2 linked regions of the Drosophila melanogaster genome follow. The protein of the gene in region 2 purifies or fractionates together with the protein of the main gene of each other region. This does not show direct contact. Each region holds a gene or a part of one and is shown on either strand. Other genes may lie near its edges.

Region 1 (4,980 bases), on a different chromosome or scaffold from region 2:
AACAGCTGTTGTGAAAACCTCTTGACAAAAACGTTTACTTCAAAAAGGTGTTACTTTCCACACCAAAATCCAGACCAATGTCCTCAGTAAATAATATTTATTTAAAAATGCAACCGAAAAGTGTCAAATTTAACAAATAACAAGCAGCAACAATAGGTTTTCGACCCACGGTTATCAAATTAGACATTTGGGTGGTGGATATTCTGTCTGCTTTGTGTATATGTATGTAGAGTGTGGTGAGAGGTGAGTACGGCGAGGTTGGGCGATTTCAGGGGAGGTCAGTAGTTTTGGATTTGGCCCAAAGAGCGAACAAAGCCGGGTTGAGTTTTCTGGGTAATCGTGTCAAGGTTAAATGCATGTGCTCCACTTTAACAAAGAACGATAGAGACGGCACTTCATCTGGCATTGACCAGCCACCCTCTGCCGACATTTCAATAAAACCTTGAGACATCCACCCGGTTAAAGTTATCAATTATTCCACCACACTACCATGTTTGATAAGCTCTGTGGCAGCTGCCTTAAAATGGCATGAAATATTCACAGGGAAGAAGTTGCGGTTTAATTTGATATGGACGGAATTATTAAACTATCATATTTAACATAAGTACATCCTGACCTGCAACTTGTAACAAATTTTCTTATCTAGCTTGTGCTTGCAGTTGGCCCGGTCTTCTTTATCACTATCATTGAGTGGAATGACTCACCGTAGTATTTCAGATCGGTGACCGCCTCCAGGTCCCGTTGATGGGCCTCATTGTCCAGATCAAGGGGTGTACTATTGCTGGTGGGCATGGCGTAGGAGGGCGTGGTCGACGAGGAGGCCTTCGAGGCTGCTGCTGCCGCTGCTGCAGCCGCCGCCGCCGCCGCTGCAGCTGCATTGTTGGACTTGGCCTTGGACAAGCTGGAGCTGGATTCATCGATCTCTATCCCGTTCGGCTCATCCTCCTCCATGTCCTGGTCGTAGTACTCCCGCTCGGGATCGCGTCCGTCCTCGCTCTCCGCATCCGATATGCAAACAATATCCGCCACATTTGTGGTGGGCGGGGATGGAGGTGTGGGCGGTGATATGGTCTCGCGGTAAGTGTAATCCCTTGCAGATGCTGAAGTGGTCTTGCTGCTGCTATTGGTGTACTGACCGTTGGTGGCACTGATGCTGTTGTTGTTATTGTTATTATTATTGTAGTTCAAGGTCTTTCCAGAACCAGAGCCGGATCCCTCCGTATTCAGTTTGGACTTTTTCCCATTGGTCATCGTTTCGGAATTGCTATTCTTTCGCGTTTTGCCATTGCCATTGGCTACCAGCTGGCCATTTAGATGATTCCGCACCATTTGATCTGGCTCCTCGTAGGCTAGTGACTCCGATTCACGGGGATGTTGATGATTCTTGAGGCGCGACGTACTTGTACCGCTTAAGATCTCGTAGTTTTGCTTTTGCAAGCGACTCATGGCTAGATTCTTCCGTAAAAGATCCTATGCCTTTAATAATGCTCTACGTGCTCCTCACGTAATCGATGGATATTCCAGGAATTAACAAATAAAAATAAAAAGGTCCAGGGACTGATCGTGGCGCATCGTTGAGCTGGAAAAACAGAAATCAAAGTAAAGACATTTTTTCGAAAATCGCTAACAATTTGTAGACAATCATTAAACTTTTTGACACATTCTTATATGAGTACTGACATAAAGTTGTCATTTTGGCTAGCTAGACTGTTTTATTGTTGTAGTATTTTTAATTAGAAACTGAATTAGTTTTTTCTATTCATGGATGTTCAACAATGCATAGACAACATGTACGATATAAATGTTCCAGTTCACACATTTTAAATACTAAATAAATAATAACTGAATTGTTGAAATTTATTCCGCAAGATGTTTTGAACATAGCTGTTTCTTATTGTGTTCTATTTAGGCAATCTTCACCGTACCTTCCCAATGCCCATTGCCCATTTCTATCCCATTTCTTCATCCACAATATGGTACAGTTTCAACGCAGGCGGGAGTAATTTTCCCGCTGTTAGCGGACAATTGGATGGGGAAACTCATTTCTGAATAGAACACTATTTGGGAGTTCGACTCACCTCGCGAAAGATTATAAGCGCAATATTATAATGCAGACGAAGAAATCCGAATCGGAGTGTGTGTGTGTGTGAGTGGGTGGATCTGGATGGGGAGGGGGAAGAGTGTTGGATTATGCGTGGGGCGGTAGCGATGTGCAACACTGAACGTTCCAATGATAATGTGCACCGATTTATGCAGCACTGGCGTTGGCTTAAATATTATTCAACCAATTCGGTTGCGGTTTCTTTTCATTCTTCTTTTTTGCTTGTTATATTATGCCGTGATTATCACAATCTTTATCAGTCGCGCATTTTTCACTTCCACAGTTAGTTTTTTATTTTTTTTTTTCGATTTCTTATTCTTTACCGTTCTCTTTGCCCACAACTACGTACACATATGCACACTCACACGCTGGCACTTTCTGTATCGGCTGCGTTTTTAAAGCGTTTTTGTTTTCGTCCGCTGATTCCGCTCCGGCGACTGTTGCTCTCGATTTTCAATGGATTTTCCAATTTCCCTGCGTACGCTTGTACTTGTTTTTCAATAGACAATACAGTAACGTTTTGATATTGAGATTGAATGTTTTGTATAATTTGTTTTGTGTTACACGAGAAGGTTTTTACCGCCGCTTTCTACTCGTTTACGCACACACACATTGAAACGCAGGACGCTCTCCGCCATCTGCTTTGCTCTCATTCGTGAACACTTATTAGGTACGGACCACCTTGATGGGAATCGCGTCGATTTCCGTTACACTCGATCAAATCGGGTTTATATCTGTATTATAGTACAATATAATACAATTAAAATCGAGAGAGCCCTAAAACGATTAATGCCGGATAATTGGCTATTTGTAATTTCAACACACAGCACACGAACCGCACGTAGAAATTTTCCCTTTGCTTTTGTGTCACTTACCGTAGCTATCGTTATCGATAGTGTTGACAAGAGGCCAAAAAGCGTGGTGCTGGAAAGCAGCCGTATATCGGTTGGCAGGGATGGTGGAGACTATCGTTTCAAATATTTAAGAATATTATATTTTGATTAACAATTATAATGAAGAATAAATTTAAGGAAAATGTGAAAATTTCGTTTATCAATAGAAAAAATATAAGAATTACCATAAATTTTAGTTTGGTTTTATTGAACTATTTCGTAAGCTGCACGGACGTAAATAAACCTTAAAAAGTAACCATAATATTTGACAAATTCTTTCTCGCCAAGTCGGGAACTGTGCATCCATCTTTCGGATAACCAACGGGCAGTAGGATGAGTAATTTTTCATTGACGGGTCGCCCGAGCAGGTTTCTCAAGGCTGGACCGCAGTTCAAAGGAGTGGTGACCAGCGATGCGAGTCCTGCCGCTTGAAGGGCACACAAAAGGATACCGGCCGCAATCGAAGTGGATATCTCGTTGTAGTAATGCCTCCTCATTCGCTTTCCATTCTCCGACAATCCATAGGTCTGCTTGAAGATCAGTATAAGGTACGGCGCCTCGGTGAGATACTCCTTGACATGATTGGTTTGCAGGGGTCGCAGATCGGTGACCCACTGCGGATGCATCCTCTGGCTGTAGTTGACCAGCTCCTCCTGTTCCACAATTTCCCGAATGGATCGCTTGAGTTCCGGCTCCTGTACGACGCAGTACGTCCAGGGTTCTGTGTGTGCGCCACTGGGAGCTGTTCCCGCCGCCCGAATGCAGTCCTCTATCACGCTGAGATCCGGTTTGGGATGGCTATTAAAGGAGCGAATGCTACGGCGTCCACGCATGAGTTCATATAAGCGTTTGGCTCCATTAGGGTTGAGATTCTGGCCGGGAACGAAGGGCACATGGGGCTTATCCTCCAGAGCCGGTTGCAGTTCATCGCCAAGATCGGCAAAGTGTTCAACTGGAAAATAGAATAGAATAGCTTTATGTTCACCGTGGATAATCTTAAAACTTACCCTCCTCCTCGACTTGTTCATCTAAATTATATGTTTTTAATACGCGATTCCCTTTAAAAAACAATCTTTTTACGATCCATATCAGCGCCAGAGTGATAAATAAACTTGGCCAATGCTTGAGTAGCTTGGAGCTGCTGATCAGTTCGTCCACATCCATGGTGCTTCAAGATGTAACTGCTTTTGCGACGGAGAGAAAGTGGCTTTGCTTTTGCGCTCGGATTGGCTTATCACTTGGTTAAGTGGGTCACGGCTATTGCTGATAGCGATGGATGCTGGTGGATGGGTTTTGGTTTCCACTTCAGTTGTTGTTCCGGCAGCAGTAGGTGCAATGGCTGCCCTTGTGATGCTCGCACATCCTCTGTTGTCCCTTTTCGTGGGCACTCCTATCCGACATGCATTTTGGATTCTTAAGCATCTGATTGGGCTCACCCGGTTTTCGTTTTTGCGGCGGAATCGGTCGGCGTGTATTGTTGAGTGGAATGGCCTTCTGGTGAACCAATTGGCGCTTGTGCACCTCTCTCAGAATCTCGATGATCCGCCACTTGGCATCGAAGAATATAAAATCGGGAGCAGTGGTTAGCTCGGTACGTATCATATCGCAAAGCATCTGCACTTGCTGGCTATTCGCGGATTCCTGACCGGATGGTTCCTTCTCCATCAAGTGAGCCGGTTCTTTGCTGGATTCAGAAATATCTGAATTTTGCGGACTGGATACGGAATTTCGCGTAGATTGTGGTGGTGTTTCCCGACACGGGGGTTCACACTTTGAATTTTCGGCTATCCAGGGGCAGGAAACTGGGCTTTGTGAGGATTCCACTTCCGGCTTGCAGGGACAGGTCAAATTGGTGGATACTAAATCCTTCTCATGGCTGGACATCTTGCAATTGGAATGATGATGACTGGTTTTATCCTTACTGTTTTGTATGTTCTTCTGCTCCGATGGAGAGAGTGCGTCTTTCTGTTCCTGATCCTCCAACCC
Region 2 (9,617 bases):
CAACTCTAGATCCTGTCTTGAAAGCTAGCAAAAAAGTGGAGGAACAGCGTCTGAACATTAGCGATGCTGCCACCAAGGAGTTCGTGGAGACACTGAGAAACGAAGCCGAGTTGGACTCGGATTGGGAAGTGGTCCATCCCGATGTTCCTCTTAATGCCAACGAGGAGTGCGAAGGAAAATTTAGTGTGTGCGGAAGCGAATGGCGGAACCAGGACACAAGTGAGGAGTACACCAACTGCTGGCCCATGGAGTGGCTGCCAGATGATTATCCAGATTCCAGAATTCTGGGCATAGATTACACATCAGCAGTCACAGAGTGGTCTGCCAATTTTACCAAATACTGTCCGTGTGAAAAGGGTCAGGGTCACATTGATGTGAGAGCCAACACACTGCTCGACAGGATTTCAGCGTCGGATGTGGGCAACGATCGTCCGATCGTGTGGATAGGACATTCCATGGGCGGCCTGCTGACCAAGCTAATACTGCTAAAATCCCTGGACTCCCAAGAGCCGAAGGTCCAACAGCTGACCAAGAACACTAAAGGCATTGTATTTTTGGGAACCCCACACCGGGGCTCACCAATTGCCAAGTGGAAGCAGCACATGCAGATGATCCTGTCTCCATCAATCGAGGTCAAAGAGATGGAAGAGAACTCGCCGAAGCTGCTGGAGATGCACCGCCGCTTTATGGGGTGCTTGCACACGCTACTGCGCCATGTAAAGGTGGTCAGTGTAGCTGAAGGATCCCCTACCATGTTGACCTCGTTCAAGTTCCCCCTGCGCATTGTCACCGAAGAGTCCTCTAAGATAGATTTCGGGGACTTCTATCTGCTGAAGGATGATCACTTGAGTCTCTCCAAGCCCATTTACAGGCAATCGTTTCTGTATCAGAGATTATTGCACGTGATCCGCGAGGCCATTAAGGAACGATCAGATCCCAAAGATCAGGATGGCCAGTCACAAAGCACTTCGAATCAAGATGTAGTGCTTGTCAAGATCGTAGCTGCTCTGTTGGAGGGAGCCAAGGGTCTGTTCGAATCGCTGCCCAGAGTCGCCCTCAGATTTAGCACTTAGGATGGGCCAAGTCCCACTAAACACCAGTACCCTAATAGTATCCCGACTAGTCTTTAAAGACTTGTAAAGTATTTTCTACACGAACCCTCACCATCATGACCATTCATCTTTGTAAATACTCCAGCACTCCATATAGTTTTTTACACCCGAATCCTAACTTATTATTCTCGGTCTCCGACTAAAACGTTTGAATAAAGATACATGTGTAACACTAATGCGAGTGGTTTTAATACGATTAAGGGTATATTTAAAGTGATATTCATCAAAGATCGAAGTACAGAAAAATCAATTTAGATATTAAGTACCGCGCATTAACTTTCAACGTAGCTTATTCATTTATTTTTATAAATTATCCTTTGAAAATTATAAAAATATGCGTTTTTATATCATAAATATACACTAACTTTTACTTCCGCTCTCCTGCTGCTGCTTGGCCTTAAGTCGCTCCTGCGCCAGCCTGCGGTTTTCCGCAATCCTGGCCATCTGTTCGTTGGATAATTTCTTAGCCGCCGGCGTGGGAGGCTGTGAGGGAGGCAGCGGCTGACCATAGTCGCTGATGTCCATCGATGCCAACGGAGCTCCATTCCGATCGAAGGCCGGAGCCACAGAAGCTCCACTTCTGTCGAAGGTCGCATTTACACCGGAGTACGGCGTGGACATTACAGCATTGCCGCGGGAGAATGACGGAGTAGCCAGCGTGCTGTTACTGGAAGCAGTAGACATTTTCCACTGCTGCGGGCTGGGAGGCGCCAGCCTGGACATGGCAATCTGTTCACCTAGCAGGGCGTCGAACTCATCAAAGGGTTCATCGCCGGCACCTTCCTGTTGCTCATCCTGCGCCTCCTCCAGGGCCTCCGCTTCGTGGGCGCGCATCTGCTCCAGCTGACCGAGTCGATATCGCGCCATGTGCACTTGGAGGGGTTTCTTCTTGCCCAGCCGTTCGATATTGTTAAGCACATCGTCAAAGGTGTAGGTGGGATACATACGATGGCCCCAGTGCTGCAGGCGGCGAAGCACCTCGTCGAGATCGGTTTTCTCGTAACCCTTGCCCTTGAATTTGATGTCCTTAAAATAATCTTCGATGGTCTGGATGCCACGAGGACCTCGAAGTGTTTCCACAGTGAGTCGCGGTCGGGGATTTCTCACAGCTCGCTTCTTAGGCTCCACTATCTGGGCATCCTGGCTACCAGGTTCTACGCCGTTGTCCTCGTCGTCCGCAAACAGCTTTTCGCCTTCGCCATCGCTGGGCAGCTGATCCGGGTCAGTCGGAATGTTGTCATTGAATAGGTCATCCACACCATCATCTCCGAACAGGGATGCCATAGAACTAGTGGCCGAAACTTAAATACCAAATAAACAATCTAACAAAATTTTGGCGCCAATTTTTGTTCTTCTTCTCTATCTACCATTCACAGGCGACGCTTGCATAAGTCACAGGGGGCTGCCAACTGAACAGCTCTTTGTTCTTTTAATTTTCCGATTACATAACTATTTGGTCTTTCCCAAAGGCTATTTTGATTTGCTTAGACATATTTTCATTAGTGGGTGGCACTAAAGGTAATTTGTACAGCCAACCCGGCTTTTGCATTGGTGGCAGCAGACATAAGAGATGGCAGCGTGACACGTTTTTTTTATCACTAAGCGACACATTGGCGTCACGAGTTTTTGTTATTCTATTATATTTATACCATTATACAAGGAAGGATAATTCATCCAAAGATTGTAGTTATTTAAATTTAGTGAAATATTTAAAAGGAGTTGGTAATGTAATAAAATTACCAAAAAAAATAAAATAAAATCAATACATTATTAGCTAGCTAGTTTCTTTTTCATCTATTTTCTCATTCCAATTACTCATACCACATAAAAATTGAAAATAATTATCCGGGGAGCAACGGAAGATTATTATTTACGTTGAGAGAAACTGTCCTCTTTTAACTGCTATCCTTGTGGTCTGGCAGAGTAAGAAATAAAAATGTGTTTAACGACATTTAGTCGGAGTTGACGAGCTGCCGCTCTTTATTCTGGTAACTGCAAATTTAAGCTGAAACTTAAAATGATTCTTAAAGCTAACAAAGACTCCGGCCCAATGCTGTCTCAGCACTTTGATATTATGTTTCATACACTAAGCCAACTGTACTAGTTCGTCGGCTCGTGTTAACTTAGCTATTAGCTATTATGTGCAACAAAGTACAGTTTCGTGAAAATATTTTCACTTCGTGACTGTCGTGCTCAGCTCGTGCATCGCAGCAAATTGCCATCTCTATGCCCCCAATCAACTCTGCGCTTTGGCGAAAAGTGGCAACGCCAGCAAAACGCCATACTTTTAAGAGCATTTTCGGGGCGACTTTACATTGTGAGGACAATTGTGGAAAAAGCGGTGAAAGAACGTTCAAAAACGAACCGAAAAACTGCTGCCTAAATGCGGTCACCACGTGCGATAAGAACGCCACGTTTAAAACGATAAATCCATTAGATTCTGGCCAAGAAAAGAGCGGTTCTTTTGCGAGGGCGAGCAAGGAAAATTTAGTGTGGTGCGAAATTGTAATCGGGATTCTACGCATTGTACGGCGTATCAGCTGAAGAGATTGTGTGCACCCCAAGCGACGCAAACAAAACCAAAACAAAACAAAAACATTTGGAGAATTATGAGATCGTAGGACCGACGGCACGGGATTCAATTCGACTGCCATGGACAAGCGATTCAAGTGGCCGCCCAAAAAGCGGGCCAACTACTTGGAATCGCCCTATCCCCACATACCGTCGCGTGGCCGCCAAAGGAATCTGCACGGCCATCCCAATCAGACGCAGCATCTTCATCAGCATCCCGGGAAGATCTATGAGCGCCAGCAATATGGCAATGGTCGTGGAGGACATGGCGGGGGTAATAACAACTACCGAAAGCTTTTGCATTCGCTGCCAGCTGAGCATGGTGGCGGAGCCATGGCTCCTCCTTCCTCCGGCGGAACCGTGTGTGCCGGCGCCGATATGGTCAAGCTCATCTCGGAGAACAACAACCTGAGGCGCATGGTTATGTTGAACTTAAACCTGATGCAGGAGCAGACGGACAGCATAGCGGCCAAGGACAAGGAGCTGGACGACCAAAGCGCTAAGATGAGCGTGGTGAAGGCGCAGAATGAGGAATTAAAGCAGGCCGTTGCTCAGTTGGAGGCCGCCAACCAGGAACTATGCAAACAGCTGCGGCGAAAGAACCAGCGAAGGAACGACAATGACGACGACGACGATGATCCCCCACTGCCACCTGCTGCCCCGCAGCAGAAGTTGATACGTTGTCATGCTGAGACGCAAACTGTGTTTCGGGAGCGGGAACAGGGCACACAAACGATAGATGCGCAGCCTCAATTCGCGAATGCACTTCCCAGGGGTATCAACATGAAGGAGTCTCCCGCTCTGGACCATCACGCTGGAGCGGTAACGAATCAGCCAGCCAGCAAACGCTCGGAGAGCAAAGGCCGCGGTGAATTCAACGGTAAAAAGGTGAGCACGTTTATTCTCCAGCGCATGAATCAGGACTTCGAGCACCACATCCACGAGCAAACGGAAGTAGCAGAGGAGCACGAGATGGAGGCACATAAGGAGCAAATATCTCAGGAAGAGGACCAACTGGTCGCTGAGGAAGATCATCTGCATATGCAAGAAGTGCACACCGAGGAAGTCGTTGGAGGCGATATCTTTCATGATGCTTTGGAATCAATTGAAATGGAAGTGGTCACCGAAGAGCTGGTTGATATGGAGGAGCATGGACAGTCCGTGGATGCCAACGGCCATATCGAGGAGGATGATGACGAGGACGACGAAGATGACGAGAATAGTGATAAAGACGATGACAGTGAAGAGGATGATTATCCGTGGATGCATAGCGATGCGGATGTAAACGCCAGAACTGAGGAAGAGCTCTGGCAGAATCAGGTATGTTTAATGTTATTATTTAATTAAAAGAATATATCGAGCAATCCTTTACTCTTTCAGAATTACCTTTTGGAATTGGACCCGACGGAGGAGAAGACCTGTGCGCCTTCGGCCCATTCAACTCCCAATCACCAGCAGAAGTCTTCGACACAGGCAGAGATAAGGAAAGAAGGAAATCAGAATCGGATAACTGAAAAGTTGTTGCAACTAAAGCCTGAGCCAATGGTAGATGCATTAGAAGCGCCGATTCTCCCGAAGTGGGTGGCTTTTAAGAAAAAGGATAAGGAACATGAATCAGTCCCCGAGTCCCCAGAAGTACCCAAGCAGCAGCCGCATCAGGAAGATGCCATCGTTGATCATAATGCAATAAAGAATCAGTTGGAAGTTCCCAAGCCGGACTTAAAACCGAAGGACCAGCCCAAAGACGAACAGAGGCAGGATGGGCAGCTGGATGTTCGCGTGGAACCACAAGAGGATGTTCGTAAGGTACAGAAGGAAACTCTGAAAAGGCAACCAGAGGATGCACCTAAGCACCTTCCGAAAGCGGTAGCCCCAAAGGTTACGAAAACATCCTCTCGAGAAAGCACGTTGCCCAAGGCAAACACCGCTGACATAAAAGACGCTCCCGCTCAAAAAGTAATAGCCAACCATCAGTCCACCAAGACGCAAACGGATCCTGTAAAAACGCAGCGTTTGCAGGTTAAGATCAGGCAGTATGAAATGCATCCTGACATGAGAACCGGCTCCTCCGCCCCGTCTGATATTCGGAAACAAAAGAACGTTGATCCAGTTTCGACGCCCGAGACGAAAACCATTAAAAGTAAAAGTATGTTGGTCAATGATAAAAAGACCACGTCGGAAACGTCTCAGAGCCCAGATCAAGAAATAGATGTGGAAACAGTTAGAAGAAAACTGGCGGAACATTTAAAAAAGGAGCTCCTAAGCCAGAGTCATTCGTCACAGGTTACGCTCAAGAAAATAAGAGAGAGAGTCGCCACAAATCTAATATATCCACCACCCAGTGCACCAGTATCCTCAACAACAATAACCCCAGCGCCTACGCCGTCAACGACACCAACGCCTGGCTCAACGCCACAGCATGCGGTTACATCCTCAATGGACCAGGAAATATCTGCAGCAAAATCGAAATCCAAGGCAGCTGAACAAATAGCAACTCCTCTGACACCTCAATCTAATAGCAGTGTTAGCAGCACCACTTCGACTATCCGAAAAACGCTAAACAACTGTTCACCCCACACGTACAGCAAGGCAACGGCGAGATCGGGAAAACTGCAGTCCAGATTCCGCACTGCCACGTTTCCGTACAGCACGAGAACGTGGGAGGATCAGGAGTTCCACTGTGACAACGAGTTCTTCCTGGAGGAGGCCGACGAGCTGCTGGCGGATAACCCTAGTCTGGAGATACCCAAGTGGCGGGATGTCCCAGTGCCACCCAGTTCGGATAAAATTGACACAGAATTACTGAGCGATGCGACCTTCGAGCGCCGGCACCAGAAATATGTGAAGGATGAGGTCGATCGAAAGTGTAGGGATGCACGTTATATGAAGGAGCAGATACGGCTTGAACAGCTTCGGATGCGACGGAACCAAGACGAGGTGTTGGTTGCGCTGGATCCTCTGCGCGCCTCCACTTTCTACCCGCTGCCCGAGGACATAGAGGCCATCCAATTCGTCAACGAGGTGACAGTTCAGGCATTCGGCGAAAACGTGGTCAACATGGAGGCGCGGGATGATTTCGGTGTGCCTTGGGTGGATGCAATCGAAGCGCCAACCTCCATAGCCAGGTCCAAGGCACTGGCTGAGCCGGTGGCAACGTTGGCTAGCAAAAAAATACCCACCACTGCTGCCGAGGCGAGGCATCAAGAAAATCACTCCTCCTACGTGTTTCCCAAGCGACGCAAGCGCCAGAAGAATCGTTAGCCAGGAAACGCCTGGGGGATCTGATACTGGAGCTAAGCAGAAGACTGTCGGTTGGGGGAAGTCGTTGCGTTTGACATACTAATGATTTTCAGTTTTAAATCATGAATTATTTCTTAAGCTTAACGTGAAAGCACCAGAGTTAACAGTAACGATTACCACAGATCGTCTAGAAGTCAAATAATCCAGAGCAGACGATGTTTATTGTATATATGGTTCCTCAACTGTCCGTTTTTATTTGTGTAATAAAATGAACGGAACGCTGAATTCTGGAACATTAGAAATTCTTTGTTATAGAATCTATAAATTTATGTCAAAGTTTTGTCGTTTCTTATGCGATGAGAGATCTTAAAAGGCAAGTAAATTGAGCTGTCCTATTCAAACATTTTTCTATTAAATTGTTATCATATTTATTTCCTTGAAATATAAATAATTCGATCTTATATTAGATGTAAATGAATCCAAATGTTCGTCGCCTGGTCTGGAAATGATTAGTTTTTAGTTAACGTCTTGCAATTGAAAAGAGTTTCACCCTTGCTTGTTTCCAATGTACGTAAATTACTTAGTCCCACACAGCATGTAATTCAAACCAGTCGCTTAGTTAGATTGGTTAACTCATCTCAGCTTTATCACCTTTAAAATCGCCCGCACTAAAGTGATAAGAACACGAAAGATATTCACATAAGTTATATTGGGCATTTTTTTGGAGAAAAACAATGAAATTCGTAGACTTATATTTTTAAATATTTTTTTTCTTTAGCCCTTATAACCATTTTTTTTGTCTTTGTTTATACTGTTATATCTGTCGATTCTCGAATGCAGACAACGTGTGTGTTGCAAAGAGTTACTCAGGTATATCTCTGATAATTTGTCTTTTTTTTTAGGATTTGATTGTGTAAAAATTGAGTGCGAGTGGTTGTCTGCTTCGAGTAATCAAATTATACATTGGATCTATTGTTTTATTTTATTAACTTCATTAAACTTGTTTTATGTTGTATCGAACAAGAAAGGCCGTTAAGATGAAAACTAGATTTGAAGAATAAATATAAAACTGATTCCCGAACTGCACACCCGTTTGGCCTTATGGGCACCATGTATTTTTGGCTAAATATTGTTTCGTTTAACACTTCTTCTGTTTGACTTTCTGTCGCAATGATATGGAGCCTGCCAACGTCCGGAGAAATCAAATCACCAGCTCGCTTTCGAGTGGCGTCTTATTTTTGTACATTTCGATAGGTGTAAAGTCGGTTACTTGTAATATAGCGTTAAGTAGGCACTGTACCCAAACGCATAGAGATAATTATAATGTAACAAAGTAAATACGATACGATGTACATTGTCCAGGAAAAGGAGGAGCGGAGGGTGGATGAACTTCGTTCAACACCATTTTACACCATTCAATGTAATTAGCGTTAAATAGTTCAATTTACTGAAGCTTCAACTAAAAATCAATTCGAAATTAATTGCCACCATTGTAGAGCCCTAAACAAACTCACCTACTGTAAGAATAAATGTACTACATACAATGTATTTGTATTTGTTTAACAAGTTTTATTGTAAAGATAACGATAATAATATACAGGATAAAGTAAATTGTAAAGCAACGAAATGCAATCAATACTTGGACTTGCAACTTATTTTGCACAGGTGATATGTAAATGAAATTCTAATAATTGACAATGGGTTTATTTAACAGGCCTCAATTGATTTTCCAATGACCTGGCATCGCTTGCTTCTGGTTTCCTTAGATGTCTTTTTGTTTGCGATCATCTCGATATAAACTTGTTTAGGGGCTAATTGCAAATGTATTTAATATCTTAGAAAATGCTTCATTATACTCTATATATTGGCTGTGACAATTTTATCTGACCCTCGTTACCTAATGGAAAACATAACATACAAAATCTTCAACAACCAGAATAGCTGGATTGAAAATCAGTTAAAATACCTTTAAAAAACGGAAAAGCCTAACGGAATTTTATATTATTTATTGCTCTGCGTCAAGTACTGGTGTCCAGTGCTTGCCCACAGCTCATCAATATCGTCAAAGCTCTCGCGCCACAGCTTCTGAAGGAGCTTCCATCCCTTTTCCTGGGTCACCAGGAGGTACTCATTTGTGGGATGCAGCGTGTGGGTGTAGAGTCCCATTACCAGGCTCTGAACAAATCGGGCAGTAACACAGTACTTGAGAAGGGCCAGCTCGGAATTCTCAATTGGGTTCAGACTGGTATAACCGGACAGAAATATGCCACCATTGGCCAAATCGTTGGCCTGCAGTATCATATAAGTGAGGGCAATTCCAATTTCGAAGATCAGTGGCGATTTGCTCGTATCACCGAAATCAATAACTCCCTTGATGGTATATTCAGTTTGATTGGGCACCTGCTCCACCACTATATTTTGTTCGTTGAAGTCCCCATGGATGATCTGGTGCTCCATGGATGGCAGTTGGCTCAGAACCTTGGCTTCAAAGGCATCGATCACCTCGTCGCAGATAAGCCGCTGCTCCTGATCCTTCACCACGTACAGGAATTGCCTAAGCTCGGGAACACTCTGAAGCATCCACAAGGTCTTGTGGCTTTCATATGCCTGGTGGGTGAAGTTCTTGAGGGCTCGATCCAACCTGGCCAAGTATTCGCCGCTGCGGTAGAGCAGGTGCTTCGTCACCGGCACCTG

The links.
Region 1: the proteins of msl-1 (region 2) and JIL-1 purify together in Drosophila melanogaster (affinity purification with western blotting; 2 studies listed by BioGRID). This does not show direct contact.

Annotation. Positions count from the first base shown.
Region 1 is NT_037436.4:11,090,194-11,095,173, forward strand, and holds the start of JIL-1 (JIL-1 kinase), read right to left. Parts: upstream 3,001-4,980; 5' UTR 2,079-3,000; intron 1,664-2,078; exon of another isoform or gene 1,580-1,663; 5' UTR 1,447-1,579; coding exon 705-1,446; intron 1-704. Other genes in the region: Iyd (iodotyrosine deiodinase), read right to left, coding at 3,240-3,946, 4,002-4,158; CG46439 (uncharacterized protein), read right to left, coding at 4,300-4,980. UniProt on the Drosophila melanogaster protein: Phosphorylates 'Ser-10' of histone H3. May regulate gene expression by establishing or maintaining the structure of more open chromatin regions. Also required for normal polytene chromosome structure, for oogenesis and for viability throughout development.
Region 2 is NT_033779.5:18,682,573-18,692,189, reverse strand, and holds msl-1 (male-specific lethal 1), read left to right. Parts: upstream 1-3,389; 5' UTR 3,390-3,764; coding exon 3,765-5,003; intron 5,004-5,063; coding exon 5,064-6,944; 3' UTR 6,945-8,470; downstream 8,471-9,617. Other genes in the region: CG10383 (uncharacterized protein), read left to right, coding at 10-1,073; CG10336 (uncharacterized protein), read right to left, coding at 1,473-2,396; CG31751 (uncharacterized protein), read right to left, coding at 8,925-9,617. UniProt on the Drosophila melanogaster protein: Component of the male-specific lethal (MSL) histone acetyltransferase complex, a multiprotein complex essential for elevating transcription of the single X chromosome in the male (X chromosome dosage compensation).